2 linked regions of the Caenorhabditis elegans genome follow. The protein of the gene in region 2 purifies or fractionates together with the protein of the main gene of each other region. This does not show direct contact. Each region holds a gene or a part of one and is shown on either strand. Other genes may lie near its edges.

Region 1 (7,450 bases), on a different chromosome or scaffold from region 2:
CGGGGGCCGCGCCGTAGGTGCGGTCCACGGCTGGTATATATATAATTTCCTTATTCCACCTACATCATAATCCTGGAATCCATGTGCAAATGCTGTGTGCACTAAGCCAGTTCCAACTGTATCCGTAACGTGTGGACCTTCGTATATTGGAAGACCAAGTTCATTGTGCCAACAGCTTTTGTATCGTCTTCCGATCAAATTCGCAGGTTTCACTGTTCCAACAACTTTACACTTTCGATCACTTGATTTTTGGAATTCTTCGAGCAATTTAGAAGCGATGACATAGAATGTGGAAGTTGGATTGCTGAAAGAACTTTATTTTATTCTAAATATAGGATTTCAATTCTCATACTTGATTTCATTATCAAATTGAATCAAGGAATACTGAATAGCAGAGGACACGGAAATTGCGTTGTTAAGTGGAAGAGTCCATGGAGTTGTAGTCCAAATCAATGCGAAGAATTGAGAAATCTTGGAAGGTTCAGAATGAGCCCAAATGACATCAGATGATGAGAAGTTGATCAGCTTGAATCGGAAATAAGCGCTTGTACTTTGATGTTTATCATTGTATTCTAGCTCTGATTCAGCAAGAGCTGTATTTGAGCTCGGTGACCTAAAAACGAAGAAAATTATATTCGAGATAACTTGCGAAACGTACCAATAGACCGGTTTGAAGGATCTATACACCAGCTTCTGCTCCACAAGCTTTGCAAAAATGTCCAACTGAGCCGCCACGTAACTTGGACTTTTCGTCACATACGGTTTCTCCCAGTCAGCAGTAACACCCCATCTTCTGAATGCATTCATTTGCTTTCCGATGGCTTCATCTGCAACGATTCGAGCAGCAGCGCGTGTTTCCAATGGTGTTCGTGAACCAGCATTTCCTTGCTGTTTTCCTATTTTTAACTCAATCGGAAGTCCGTGACAATCCCATCCAGGACGGAAGAGTACTCTGAAATTTAAATTAAAGTGGAATTACTAATTGTAATTATTCATACCTATATCCCAACGCAATTCTACTCTTCACAACGAAATCTTTCAAAATCTTATTGATAGCATGACCCGTGTGAGCTTCTCCGTTTGCATATGGTGGACCATCGAGAAGTTCGAATATTTCTGAATCTTTTCGAGCAGCTTTTTGCCAGGAATACAAGTCGTTGAGTCCACCATCACTCGCTGCTTTCTGATCGGAAGACGAGCGTTCAGTTGACTTGATATGATTGATAAATGAAGAAGAAGGTAAAAATACTGTTGATTTTTTCTTATTGGGAGTTTCAGACGACGTGGATGACGAGGAAAGATGTGTGAGAGAGTTACTGGAAAAATCTTTGAATAGATTATTTATGATTATTTATTGTTTTCACCTAATGATTCTCTTCGAGGGCTTGCAAAGCGGCTGCAATGCATTCGTTCGGGATGCCATCAAGATCGATTCCTATAGAAAAATTGATTGTAAAAAACTATTTACTATTTCAAGATTTACCGAAAACAAAAAGAGCACTCTTCCTCTGGTTTGTTCCTGCGAAATGGATCACAAATCTACGAATGAATAACTCAACGCCGGGCTGTAAAGAATTGAACCGTTTCAACATCAAAATCATCTATTCATACCAATTCAGGATTTCCCAGCAAGCTCTTCAACTCGTATTCGACTCTTTGTTGATCGGAGAGCTGGCTAGATAGAATCTCTGGTGGCTGAATAACTTCGATTACTTGTCCGATTCTTCCTGTTGAATTGAAGTGCACAAGATCTTTGTCGGGATGCGAGGTTATCGAAAAGTGAATTGGTTCTCCGTTGAACTCGAAAGAAAAATCTTTGAAACTCATCAACCCTGTAAACCTGACAGAATCAAATTCGAAGAAATCTAATTTAAACCTGAAGTATTTGTAATGAGGATTCAACTTGCAATACAATTCCTCACTTTTTCAACATTTCATACTTTATTTGAGAGACAACAACAATGAGAAGAAAACAACAAGAATAGTACAAAAAGAATAAGAGAAAACGGTGGAAAAAAGACTAAAAGCTAGTCGTCAAGATCGTATTTCGAAACAATTGGGGGTTTGATGCGTAACTTGGGATCTCGTTGTCGTTCTAGGGCCTCTCTGAAACCATGAAAATATTATCAATGATTTTTTCAATTTACACAAACCTTCGATCTTTGCCTTCTTGTGGAGTTAAAAAGCGACCTTGCATAGTTTGCTCATCGACAGTCCAAAGGAACATATCGTTGAGAGTATAACCAAAAGCTTTCCATCCAACGAAGAAAAGAACAAAAGAGACGATGATACGACGACGAGACACCTGAAATTATAAAATATCGTTTGGAAAAATGCGAGATTTGTAAATTACCTGTTGATAATTGATAGGTTTATTGGGGGTGAAAGAGCGGATTTTTTGCCGCAACATGCGGCGCCACTCCCAAACCAGCATTTTAGCAAACGGTCTTTGCCTTCTGGGTTGGCAAGAGTCCGAAGCGCTTCTTGATGATGATGCGATATTTGGAGTTCTTGTCTTCCGGCGAAAAGCGAGCTGGATGAGCGGTAAGAGTTTGCTCTCCAGATGGAGCAGTTCTCTTCAAAGTGTACACTCTTTGTTGGTTCTCGTCCAAGAAGTATCTCAAGAACATTGTCCGTTGAAAGTAGACTGAGTTCTGAAACTATCAATGATTTCTAAAACTTCTGAAACTATAGAGAAATATGAAATAAATACGGCGCATTGCAACGAAAAAAAGAATTAGCGAGAAAGAATGAAGGGGTGATTTCATTAGATATTTTTAAAAATTATTCCAAATTTCACGCATAACAGAAAGAAAACAAAACAAGAAGGAATATCACAAAATGTTTGATGGAAACCGGTAAGAAGTGAGGATAATAGGCACGTGCTGAGTAGCTGATCTATATAGATAAAATGTGAAAACAAGTTGAACTAATCTGGCGTACGAGAAAAGAAAAGGTAAATCGATAAATATATATGTACAACGGGTATAGTGGATCGTGAGAAAAGTGAATCGGGACAAGAGACTTAGAGATAAAAAACGTGAGGCAGAGTTCACTCAATAAACAACAAATTTTCCGAAAAAACATCTATGTATTATTATAATGGGCCCATTCCGAGTGTGTGGAAAACATAATCCCAAAGAGAAGTCGAAATTCCGAAGCCTGAAAAATGAAAATAGGCCTGAAATAGGGAAAATGATAGAAAAATTTCGATTGCGAAAATGAAAGTGCAAACGCGCTCCATCGCAAATCTGTGTAATTTTCCGTCAGAGAACATTATATTTCACGACAATTTGCAGATTATAGAAAATCTCAATTAAAAAACAGTTTTTAATGTTCTTGACTTAAAAATAACAAATTAAAAATTGATTTTTAAACAAAATCCCGTTAAATGTAACTTACCGACGTCAAAGTTTTTGAAGTGGTGATTATGATGATATACTTTTCTAAAATGTAAATTGCTGCGTGGACGAGGACTTCCGTGATGTAAATAATAGTGTACCATATCGTAGGTTACATATCCAAATAACTTTCCAGCGCCAAACGCGCAAAACACTGGCCTAAAACGATTAACTGAATATGGGAACCAGGAAAGGTTTAATACTGACCATTGGAAGGTATTGGAGTAGATTAAATAGAAAATTCCAACAATCAAAGTAGCTGGAACCGGAGGGAACACAAGGCGGTCTCCGTCCATCGGTGTTTTATGGTGAAGTCCATGAGCCAAGAAATGAAGAAGAATCTGATTCGGCGAATCTGGAGACGGCTTCCAATGGAAAACCCATCGATGAAGACTGTATTCAGTGAGAGTCCATGTCAAAACTCCAATGACGAACCAGGCAGACCACAGGAGAATCGAGTTATAAACATCGGTGGATGTTGAAAATGAGAGCACTGAGAGGATAGAAAAAGTAATGACGATCGGCATCCAAACAGCAGGGACCACCCACCAAGCTGTTCTTGTCATGCTTTCCAACACATCCGAATCGAAAAGTCTGAAAAAAAGTGAAAATTTGCATTGAAAAGTCGAGATCATCAATACCTTAAAGTTCCATCATATGGTTGATGAATCCAATGCCAATATTCAGAGCCAAGAGATCCAACTTTGAAAAGCATTCCGGATTTAGACTCAATCAATGGATCACCCTAGAATTTTAGAAATATTAATAATTAGATTTGATGGAAGGAACGAACTTTTTGAATTGCATTCACATTATATCTCTCGAGCATATTATAAGCGGCTTCCGAGTGCTCATGACGTACACCCATTATCCTTTTTTCTCCTCTGATAAATTCTCCAATTTCTTCTCCAGCCAAACGATTCAGAACCTATAAAAAGTTTGAGATTAGTAAAATATCCTAAAACTTGAAAAAAAGTTACCTTGGCACCTCCCGGATGTTTAGGCGCAAAATCAGCAATGTCATAATATTGCCCGTCGAGTTGTACTAGCAACGGCTTCTTCTCATCTGCTCCTATCCCCATATTTTCCACTGAAATATAGAAAATTATAAATTACGAAACGTTATAAATATAGAAAATATGAAACGGGGAAAGCAATATGATCATGATCTCATAGTAGAAAAATAAGTAGCAAAAGGAAATGAGCACATTCACCAGAAAACGTCATTTTCCGGTCAAGAAAAGCAGCCATATGAATTGAGGTTAGGGTATATTATGGGGACGCAGAAAAAATACCTATTCAAATTGAAGTGCAAAGCGCGCCGCCTCCGGGCCATGGGTCTCGGTAGGAAGTTGGCGGCAGAACTCATTAATTCAGACGTTTTTCAATTAGTTTCATATTAAAAAATTTTTGTTATGTTTTAAGTTGATTTTAAAGATTTCTTGTTTAAGAAATTAATGTTGTTTCATTTGACTAAAAATTCATGTCAGAATTTCAGCATCAAAATCTTTAAAAACAACATAATAAAAAAACGAAAAACACTATTAAAACGTTTCGATTGAAGGTTTTTCCGTCAAATACCTAACGAGACCCATGGTTTGGGGGCGGAGCGTATCATGTTTCTGCGTCCTCATAATATCACGAGTGAAGGAGCTGTTCGAATCAAAAAAGGTATAACGAGATTGCAGAATGGATTGTTTTTCAGTATTCACCTGCTTCAGAAAAGTGATGATTGATAGCTGGAAATACTTGAAAACAACTGAAAATAGAATAAAAATCTCTGCTACATTGCTATATTGAATAATTTCTCTCTCTCTCTGAGTCGGAGCAGGAAATGCACGTAGGTTCTCATTTAATTAGGTAAATCAACACCGAAAGAAAAGGGAAGCAAGTAGACGAAACGGGAAAACATAGTATTACATGAATTCTGCAAGGGATTCAGAGCACATACATATAATAGCATAGGAGAGAGCCGACACAAGAGAGGTGGGTGGTGGAGCAGGAGATGAAGGTGAAGGGTTTCTGAGCAAATTTGAAACATGTGCATTGGACATCAAATGTGTAATTTTGATATGTTGCACTTGGTCTTTGTGTTGGCCTGAGTCTAGTTAAAAACATTGGAACAATTGAGACATATCTGCCTCAAGTAATCATAGTTTCTGAGCTTCGAAATTTCTCGGTTTAATATAATTTAATTTAGAAATCTTGCAGCAGTTAAAATACGAGTTAAAATATATGAAAACACAAGTTTTGGAACTACCACAACTACGATTATATAGAAGACTGAAGAGTTTTCTGGCAAACAAACTGTCATTTTCCCACGATTTTCCTAGTTTTTCTAGACACAAATCGGGCACAATTGTGCCCGTTGGTACGAATACTTAATGAAAAATGTGCCATCTCAAATAAACCGAGCCTTTATAAATATATATTTGCAAATTGTGTGAGCCTTTTCCTATTTAAGCGGAGATGGCAGACGCTGAGGATGAAATATTCAAAAATTGTCCAGGATGTCATTCTGGAGCATTTAAATATTTTTGTAATTTTTAAGGATGTTAGTGTGGAATCTGAAGAGTTAATCTATATGGAAGGTGATGGAAGTTTGATTTAAAGTATCATAGCACCCGGGTTAAAAGAGTAGAGATTGAAAGAGCAAACTAGAGCAAGTGACCTAATTGAATTGAATTCAACGAGATAAAATGTGCGGAATGAGAGTGCGAGCCTATGTATGTGCACGGGCTCTTCGTCAGAAACGGGGGCAAACAATGGGGTTGAATATTTTGCCACCCCGTCTATCGTCCATCCTTCCTCTCCCGTCAGTCAGTTCGATGAAATGGAAAACGGGGGAGGAAAGGGGCGTGGCGGGAAAGGAAGGAAGGAAAGAAGAGGCTCATGCAATTTCCAAAATTGCGAGGAGTGCGGAGCCGGCGGCGGCGTGTGCTCCTCCAGCTCAAGAGAGGCTTTTAAGCTTCTCTGGGCGACGGAAGGAAAACACTGAGCGCGCGGGAAACGAGACGAGAACTTTGTAACCATTGACAAACATACACAAAAGAATGGACTTGGACTCTTGGAGCCATGCAGTTAAACCATAGAAACCACCGCATTGTCTTCTTATTTTCAAAGAGTAAGAAGGAAACTCATTCGACGGGAAACTAATTTAGTTGAGAAGAATACGACGCGGCGTCGAAGAAAAGGAAAAAAAAAGAAACGCGAAATTGAAAATGTTTGCTTCAAGAAAGGCATAAAATGAGTCAGAGTGTCACTCATATATTGCGTCTGAACATATAAAACCTGCCTAGCCATTATATGATGATAAGCCGGCGCCGTGTTAGTTTCGTAAAAACGTGCGAATCACTGTGTGCAGAGAGGGAGACAGAGAGGCAGAGAGTGGACTTTTTGGGAAGATGGATAAATTCGGAGAGTACAGTCTAGAGATGAAGATCATGCAAACATGATTTTATTTTGCAAACTATCCAATAGTTCAGCATTTATGCAAGTGTCACTTCTTTTTTCTTTAAAAAAAATACGAAAAAATACTTCAAAAATTTTGAAACAAAACTGTTTGCAACATTTTTTTTTCGAAATTTCAAACTTTTCGGAAATTACCGCCTAGCCTTGTTTAAATTAACTAGGACCAGTGGACAAAACGACCACTTCGACAAATCTTGTTTGCTTTGATCTTCTTTTTTTGCAAACCGAAACTACAGTCACTATAGTTGTACTTTGTAGACATCTAGAACGTTTCCGAGCAAAATACAATAGAAACAATAGCAAAACAAACATATAGTCTTCTCAATCAGGGCACTAGGTCTATTTTCATAAACATATATAATCATATGACTGAAATAAAATTGGAATTTCGATGTCTTGTTGTAGAAACTTCACGCTAAATTTGAAACAGGGGGAAAACAAATCTGTTGACCGAAGAGATGAGTGGAACACAAATCTATTCAATAAATAAACCTACACTGGTTAAAGATGAAAAATTAAAAGTTCGAGTTATAGATCGAAATAAAAGGTGATTTCTGGTATTTCTCACTTCCCGGGCG
Region 2 (8,355 bases):
TGGGAATGAAGATCGCAGACGTGAGTTTTTGGAGACTAAACTTTGAGTTGTAGACATGTAACTGATAGTAAGATCAAACTATATTCGAGGTGTTCGTGAAGTTTCAAATATTTGTACGACCGAGAGACCAAGGTCACAAACGAGACATTTTGACTGAAAATTCTACAAAAGAGATCAGAGAATGAGTAGAAAAAAGCGAATAGGAAAAGCAGTGTTAAAAGACTTTGATACAATTGGAAAGCGATACATCTATAACATTATGATTGAAATACCTCAACTCCAGTTGCAACTGGAACAATTCGATTTAGAAATATTTTCCAGTCCGGACTTCTTGCTGCAATCCCCCATTTGGTAATGGGATGCGTGGTCCTTATGGGTGGACAACTCGCTGATTATCTCCGATCCAACAAGATCCTTTCCACCACTGCCGTTCGGAAGATTTTCAATTGTGGTGGTTTTGGAGGAGAAGCTGCATTCATGCTAATTGTTGCATATACAACAAGTGATACAACTGCTATAATGGCATTGATTGCTGCTGTTGGAATGTCTGGATTTGCTATTTCTGGTATGTCAGTTTTTGCAGTTTTTGCAGAATTACAATGCGGAAGTTTATCGAGAGATACTACGTATACTTCCTCTGACTATTACGATGATCATCTGATTTTTGAAACATCGAAACCTTGATAAAGAAAAACGTCAGTAGATCAATTTTTGTAACTTTTCGTATAAAATAGTTTCAAAGTTTCAAAGATGCAGAGATTATGACATTTCTAGACGATACAGTAAAGGAAATCAAATTACCGTATTTTTGTTGCAAAAGTCGTAATATAGTGTCCATGGACTCTGCCTTACAATCTGTAATTTTAGGTTTCAACGTAAATCATTTGGACATTGCTCCCCGTTATGCAGCCATCCTAATGGGATTCTCGAATGGAATCGGAACACTTGCCGGATTAACTTGCCCATTTGTGACTGAAGCATTCACTGCTCACTCGAAACACGGATGGACGAGTGTTTTCTTATTAGCCAGTCTTATTCACTTTACTGGAGTCACTTTTTATGCTGTCTATGCTTCCGGAGAACTTCAAGAATGGGCAGAACCAAAAGAGGAGGAAGAATGGTCGAATAAGGAATTGGTGAATAAAACTGGAATCAATGGAACTGGATACGGAGCTGCTGAGACTACATTCACACAGTTACCAGCCGGTGTTGATTCTTCTTATCAAGCTCAGGCGGCTCCAGGTAAACTTGAACAGTTATAAACTTATGAGCTCATAAAATTTGAAAATTTACAGCTCCTGGAACCAACCCGTTCGCTTCAGCTTGGGATGAACATGGATCCTCTGGAGTTGTGGAAAATCCGCATTATCAGCAGTGGTAGTGATAAATAACGTCTAGTTAGGATACCTTCTAAAAATTTTAATTTATTTATTTAATTCTCTCAGTTATTCCTAATATCTTATGTTAACTTAAGTTCTATTGCCTAGTTGCGAAAAACCAGAACTACAATACCAGGTCTCAAAGCGATCGATTTTCTCAAACTTACAACATCTTCAAGGATTCCTGTAGTTGCTAACGTCTTTTCACCCGTTTTTTCAAATTTATTGAAACAAATTTTTTTGAAGCAACGGGAGAAAAACTTTAGCAACTACAGTACTTAAAGGCGCACGCTATTTTGAGATTCAAAAAATCGATCGCTTCGAGACCCTGGAGCAAAATTCGCTAAATTAGCATCTGGATAATACAAAAGCAAGAATCAGTTGCGATTGAAACTTTTTTATTTAATTCTTCTTGCGATCTCATATCGTTCTGCAATAAATTGATTTTTCATTTTAAAACGTTCATTTATGAAAACGAAAAACAGTGATAACAAGACAATAACAAAAAAGAAAACAAAAAGTAATAAAGAAACAAAAAACAATTTAAAGAACATCCTTGATTTCCTTCTTGCTCAACTTTCCTCTCTTGATTCTCTTCAACAATCGGATATCATTTTGAGCATCATCTTCTTCTTCGGCCTTTCTCTTCAAAGCCTTCTTCTCCTCTGCTTTTCTACCAGTTCCACCACCATTTCTGAACCTTCCACCCATCTTCTTCAGTTTTCTAGCCTCCTTCTCACGGCGCTTCTTATCCTTTGCAGCCAACGTCTCGACCTTCTTCTCGTGCTTTTCTTTCATCACAGTTTCCCGATTGGCTTCTAGTTTAACATCGGCGTATTTGATTTCAGATGTCTCGATGGCACTTCTGTCGAACATATCCAAATCTTTTCTTTGTGACAGTTCACGCATTTTCGGCAATCTGAGAAGAGCGTACGAATTGGCAAGACCGACCACGTTGAGATCTGTAAACTTATTATTTCAGCGTTGTATTATATATTTTGCATAACCTACCATCAAGTGAGCAAATGAGATGACAATCGTGTTTGGCATATGACTCCACGTGACTCACAAATGCACGAGTTCCAGCTTCTAGAATTGCACGATCAGAAACTTGAATTTTGATCATTTTCTGTCTCAGCTCTTCCGATTTTCTCGAATTGTTAGTTGGAACTTTGATCTCATCAAGCTTTACTTTCTCGTGGTTATCAAGGAAATTCACATAGGCCAACTGTTCCGAAGCGATGAGAATAAGAGCATTTCCTTCACGACCACATCTGGCTGTTCGGCCGGCTCGATGGACAAACCAACTGGAATGTTTTGGAAGATCGAACTGAATGACCCAGTCAATATCCGAGATATCAATTCCTCGTGCCATCACATCAGTTGAAATCATAACTCCATTGGTGCTATCCGAGAATGCTTTGATTTGAGATGCACGGTGTGGGTTTGAGCATTTTCCATGAACTGCGAACAATGGGCGTTTACCAAGACATCTTTCAAAAATCTGAATAATATTAATAATAATCTCCATTAAAATTGAATATACCTTGTAAAAATATCTAACTGAATTGCACGAAGGAAAGAAGATAAGAATCTTTTTATCCGTTCTCTGGCGAATAAACTCCAAACAGACACTCGTTTTCTCATCAGCTCGACATTCGACATAATAATTCTTCAACGTTGAAGGTGCGGCCGAGTTCCTCTCTTGAGCCACTTTCACTTGCTTTGCGTTACGCAAACCAAAAACCATCAAATCATCTTCTTCCTTAACCTGAGTAGCAGAGAACAATCCGGTACGACGTTGCTTTGGGATACATGAGAGAATCTCTCGCATACTGTAAAAAATCAATTTTAAGCCTGAATATGTTCTTCAATAAACTTACTGATCCTCAAACTGAATTTCATTAAATCTATCCGCTTCATCAATGACGAGGAGTTGAAGAGTTCTCATTTTTCGAGCAATAAGGGTCTTCTCGTGTTGAATTATTTGGAAAAGACGTCCGGGAGTGGCGACAAGAATGTTGACACTGGAAAATGCAGAAATTAAAATGGGAATATTTTATTTTCCACAAACTGTTAGAGGAGGACGTTTTTTGAGTGTGTAGATACATACAAAATGTGCAAAAATAAATGAATTTCATGATGAGATTTGCCAAAAAATGTCATATTTTTGCAGCTCAAAAACTAAAAAAAAAAACTAATTTTTGCTATAACTTTCGATTTTTTCTTCGATTTTTCAAACCGTCATAAAAATGATGGAAATTTTTTGAGGTCTCATTAAGAAATTCGCTTTTTTTGGCGAACTTTTTGTAATTCATCTTTTACTCCGCATAAAAATACGAACATACTTTTTATTCTTGAACATCTTGATATTTTTGTCCACTTTCTGTCCTCCAGTAACTGTTTCCACAGTTAAATTGAGTTTCTCTGCGAATGGTTGAATTACGCTAACGATTTGACTGCAGAGCTCTCTTGAAGGCGATAGAATAAGTGCTCCAATGTCAGCAGGCTGAAGTTTTGCATTTTGAATCATTCTCATCATTGGTAAAACGAAAGCAAGAGTCTTTCCAGATCCAGTTGGAGATTCAACGACAACATCAGACAGGTTAAGGAGATGTGTTCCAGAGAGAACCTGAAATTGGATAATTAAATAAAGATGCATTCCTACTACTTTCTACATCAAATGGCTTTTTCCTCAGCTTTGAGGAGAGCACACTCCTCCTTTGCTCTCATGTCTGCGTCTCTCTAACTCCCGATCAATATCCTTTCTCCCACCCTTCTGACCCATTTTATGCTATGCTTTTTCTTGTATATTTCAAACATTTTTATTTTATATTCTTGATTTTAGAGAATGAACAAACCGAAACAGGACTGGGGAGCGTATTATTATCAAGGGAAGCGAAAAAATGGGAAAACTCGATTAATGTTGGACGTTGTTCATCAGATGAATCAAGCAGTTCCAACATTCAACGAGTTGTTTGATGAGGTATTGGATTTTAAGTGGAAAATGTTTAATTAAAAACATTATTTTAATTTCAGGAAACTTTCTACGTGTTTGCTTTTCTCGTGGTTCTTGTGGCAGTTATATTTGTGATAGTGATGGCAAAATGCTTTAACGTTAAAATTAAAGAATACGATATCGATATAGATAGAGAATGGAGAGATATGACACCTGCTCATCCGTTCAGATTTCCTTGGGACGATGCAAAAAAGGATGCGAAATTGAAGAAGGATTGATTACTTTGGAAATTTTGGACATTTCCTCACTTGATATAATTTCACTTCGATCAAATAAACTATTATAAACTTACTTGTACATCTGTGAACGATTTGTAACTTTTATCGAATACTTCGAGCAGTTCCGGGCCGAGCTTCTCGCGGAACGTTTTCAAGGCTACTGGACCCACTTTTGATGTCATTTTGACGGCTGAAAAAAGATAAAGGTTGGGAAAGATATTTTAAACGGAGAAAACGTTTAATAAGAAGATAAATTCATTAGAAGTAATTAATTAAAGCAAACAAGGAAAATATTTAGTATTCCGTCAATTCCTATGAAAATTAGTTAATTTTCAAATACGAAAGCTGTTGAAAAAATTAGATTGAAATCTCACTTAATTATAAGACTAAAACCCATTCAAAACTATTAAGGAATAAGAAAGATTATCTAAAAATTCTTAAAATTCAGCAAAAAAAATTAATTCGAAAAGTACGCAAACACCGGCATTGCATCTCTGCGTCCAGTGCAGTGAATCTTACGACACTTGAAATGTGGCCGGCAACAAATTATGTTTTAAGCATTTTATTTAATATTAAAATTTAATAATACTATTTTACTAGTGAATTTATGAATTAATTGACTTGAATATTTTAATAATATTATTTGTTAGTAATCTCCAAAATCGTCTTTCCTTCTTTTCTGCGCTCATTACTTATTCAAATACTTCCATACTTATAAATCAAGTTTTTTTTCAGATTCGAAACAATGACATACTTCACAAGCTGGGACGAATTTGCAAAAGCTGCTGAAAGGCTTCATAGTGCCAATCCGGAGAAATGCAGGTTAGTTCGTAATATTTTAAAAAAACCGTCACTTTCGGGATTGAAAAATGTTATAGATTACTTAAATGTGCGATATTTACATAAAATAGAAAAGCGAAAGAAAATCAATTTTATCAATAATTTTTATTCGTGAGAAACATAAATTACTAAAGGATTATTTCCTGGAAAATCTTTTTGTCGATATTTCTGCAACCAACTTTTTTGTAGTTTCTTTGTTATTTATGGCATATTCAGCTGAATTTAAATAAAAATCCCCTAAAACATTCCTCATGGAGATTTCCAAAAGTTTTAGTGACAACTAAACTTTGATTTTCAGATTCGTCACCAAGTACAACCACACAAAGGGACAGCTCGTGCTGAAGCTCACCGATGACGTGGTCTGCCTTCAATACAGTACGAATCAATTGCAGGATGTAAAAAAGTTGGAGAAGTTGTCATCGACCCTGCTTCGCGGTATTGTCACTCAATAAACACGCTTTGTTTTATGTTTATGGTTTAATTAAGTATTTAAATAAAAAAAGTTTATATTTATTGAATGAAATTGTTTTTCAAATACGTGAACTTGAACTTCAACACTACAGATAGAAAAATAAACCAAAGCTTTAAAAATCAATAAATTCAGTTTGAATTTATTCCTCTAGCTTGACAAAGAAATAATGTCTCACCGGAACGATAGCTCTCGTAAGCATCGTAAATCGCGTTCAATCAAGAATGATCAACACTATCCGACAGTGTCTTTTGATGGAGCAGAGGTAATTTTATTTATTTTATTGGTGTGCGCTGTAATCCGATTTTTGGAATACGGTGCCCGGTCTCGACGCGGCAAATTGTTGTTAAATGCAAAGTGTTGTGCGCCTTTAACGAGTACTGTAATTTTGTCTAGTTGCTGCAGAATGTTTAGTGATTTTCCAACACACTATTAATTTGTTGAAAAACTAAAAATATAAGTGGTAACAATAATCGATGAAGTTTGGAGTTACAGTACTCTTTAAAGGCGCACACCCTCCCGCATCTGACAACAATTTGTCGCTCCGAGACCAGGAGCTGTAGGCAAAAAATTGCCAAGTTTCGCACCTGTATCATACAATACGTGGTTGAAAAACTTAATGAAGAAGAAAATATTTCAGTCTGTCGATATTCCTGCGGACGAAGGAAAAAGTCCAGTGAGCACGCACTTGTCGTTGGCATCAAATCCAACTGAATTCAAGTTCATGGATGAAATTGCACTTTTGAAGCGTGGCCGCATCGACAAAGACGCTCCAAAGCATCCGTACAATCGTCGTGGCCAGCAACCAATGATGAAGAAGGAGATTTCGGTGACTTCGGCTCATTCCAACAGCTCCTTGCCTGTCAGAAGTCCAGCTATCATGACGTTGATGGGCGGAGTTCCAGAGGCAGAAAAAGAGTACAATGTTGGAAAGGGTGGACTTCTCAAAATTTCTAAGATGAAGGAAGGTGGAAAGAGGTGATTAATGTAGCTCATGGATTATCGTAAATTTGTGAAAACTGGAATCATCACTTTAAAGGCAAATGCTATTTTTTGGATGGGTCTCACTGTGAACTCAATGTCATGGCCGTTATAAGAGCTAAAATTTACAAATTTGTTCGTCAATTCTGCACGGTATCATTAACCTTCTCATAGGATCCAAGCGCGTTTTCACTGATACGTGCCTACCACCTGCCGGCCTAGCAGGCATGCGTGTAGGCCTACTACATGTATTTAGGTGTATAGTAATTTTAGGCAGCACAGTAGGTACGTAGAAAGCTAAGTAGAAACCAATATAAGAAAATTAGATTAATACAAACATTCATTTAATAAATGCTATTGTAATTTCAGATACGAAGTTTCCGCCAACGAGCGCTTCACCGTCTTCCAACAAACAGCTGGCCAAACTTGCCTCTTCACTTTCAAAGCTTAGAATCCACAATCGAATGCAATCGGAAATCCAATGAATGTTTCCTTTTTCTCAATAAATATTTTATTGAAACTCGAAAACAGAAGTGTTTTAAAACCGAAAGTCGTAATGGGTAATAATAATTAATAATACTTGTAAAAGTGCTTTGTACCTAAAGATGAAAACACTAAAAAGTTGGGTGGCATCGGTATCGATAACAGAAAATTACAAAGGAGACATTTTAATTGAAAATGAAACAAGAATAAGGCCCGAAAAAACATAATTTAGAAGATCTGAATGCGATGATTCTCGCGATCGGTGACAACAATTGAACCGTCAGCAGTGACACAAACATCTTCGACACCTTTCAGTTGTCCAGCTCCTCCACCCCAAGTTCCGAAAGAGGAGACAAATTGACCTTGGGCGTCGAAAACTTGGATCCTGTTGTTACCGGAGTCGGCGATTATTAGGTTTTCCTGAAAATGAATGGTTTAGAATTTTTCTTTAGCATTCCAGCCTTACCTGTGAATCAATAGCAATTCCACGTGGGAATTTGAATTGTCCACCATGAAAACCTTCCTCGCCGAATGAAAACAAATGAACACCGTGGGGATCGAATACGCTGATTCGATGATTCGAAGAATCTGATACATACACCTGAAACGATTCAGAATGATTCATGAATCTATCTGGAATCACTCACGTGATGAGTAACTCTGCTAACTGCTATGAACAATGGACTGTTTAGTTGACCAGGTAGATGTCCGAAAGATCCGAATTTTGCAATGAATTGACCATTTTTGTCGAAGACTTGGACGCGGTGATTATCCTATAATTTAAGCTTCACTTGTATTTTAGCATGTGGGGCAATGTTTTTTAAAATTTAATCTAGATCTGCAAAGCGGACCACAATAATGTCCGGCGTCCGAATTTCCAAAAAAAAAAAAATTAAAAAATGATACTCAAAATACCGGACGTCCGGTTTGCCTGCAATATATGAATCTACAAAAACAAAGTTCTTC

What was found. Proteins that work in one complex are often made in the same cells at the same time.
Region 1: the proteins of ZK512.2 (region 2) and nola-3 fractionate together in Caenorhabditis elegans (co-fractionation; one large-scale study listed by BioGRID). This does not show direct contact.

The regions. Positions count from the first base shown.
Region 1 is NC_003279.8:10,174,222-10,181,671, reverse strand, and holds nola-3 (Putative H/ACA ribonucleoprotein complex subunit 3), read right to left. Parts: upstream 2,631-7,450; coding exon 2,436-2,630; downstream 1-2,435. Other genes in the region: iars-2 (isoleucine--tRNA ligase), read right to left, coding at 64-304, 353-613, 659-952, 999-1,316, 1,365-1,423; C25A1.20 (Proteasome assembly chaperone 3), read right to left, coding at 1,365-1,435, 1,484-1,565, 1,612-1,827; C25A1.16 (uncharacterized protein), read right to left, coding at 2,028-2,106, 2,154-2,305, 2,354-2,434; fath-1 (Fatty acid 2-hydroxylase), read right to left, coding at 3,098-3,162, 3,403-3,560, 3,609-3,995, 4,043-4,146, 4,195-4,329, 4,382-4,483. UniProt on the Caenorhabditis elegans protein: Required for ribosome biogenesis. Part of a complex which catalyzes pseudouridylation of rRNA. This involves the isomerization of uridine such that the ribose is subsequently attached to C5, instead of the normal N1.
Region 2 is NC_003281.10:9,139,989-9,148,343, forward strand, and holds ZK512.2 (putative ATP-dependent RNA helicase DDX55 homolog), read right to left. Parts: upstream 4,807-8,355; 5' UTR 4,799-4,806; coding exon 4,691-4,798; exon of another isoform or gene 4,617-4,690; coding exon of another isoform or gene 4,419-4,616; intron 4,366-4,418; coding exon of another isoform or gene 4,231-4,365; exon of another isoform or gene 4,223-4,230; intron 4,012-4,222; coding exon 3,728-4,011; intron 3,407-3,727; coding exon 3,263-3,406; intron 3,215-3,262; coding exon 2,926-3,214; intron 2,884-2,925; coding exon 2,391-2,883; intron 2,342-2,390; coding exon 1,923-2,341; 3' UTR 1,761-1,922; downstream 1-1,760. Other genes in the region: putative vesicular glutamate transporter eat-4, read left to right, coding at 1-20, 322-565, 868-1,242, 1,296-1,381; ZK512.11 (uncharacterized protein), read left to right, coding at 4,231-4,365, 4,419-4,616; ZK512.4 (Signal recognition particle 9 kDa protein), read left to right, coding at 5,362-5,438, 5,755-5,908; ZK512.8 (uncharacterized protein), read left to right, coding at 6,095-6,190, 6,566-6,903, 7,276-7,357; RING finger protein nhl-1, read right to left, coding at 7,618-7,809, 7,856-7,990, 8,037-8,162. UniProt on the Caenorhabditis elegans protein: Probable ATP-binding RNA helicase.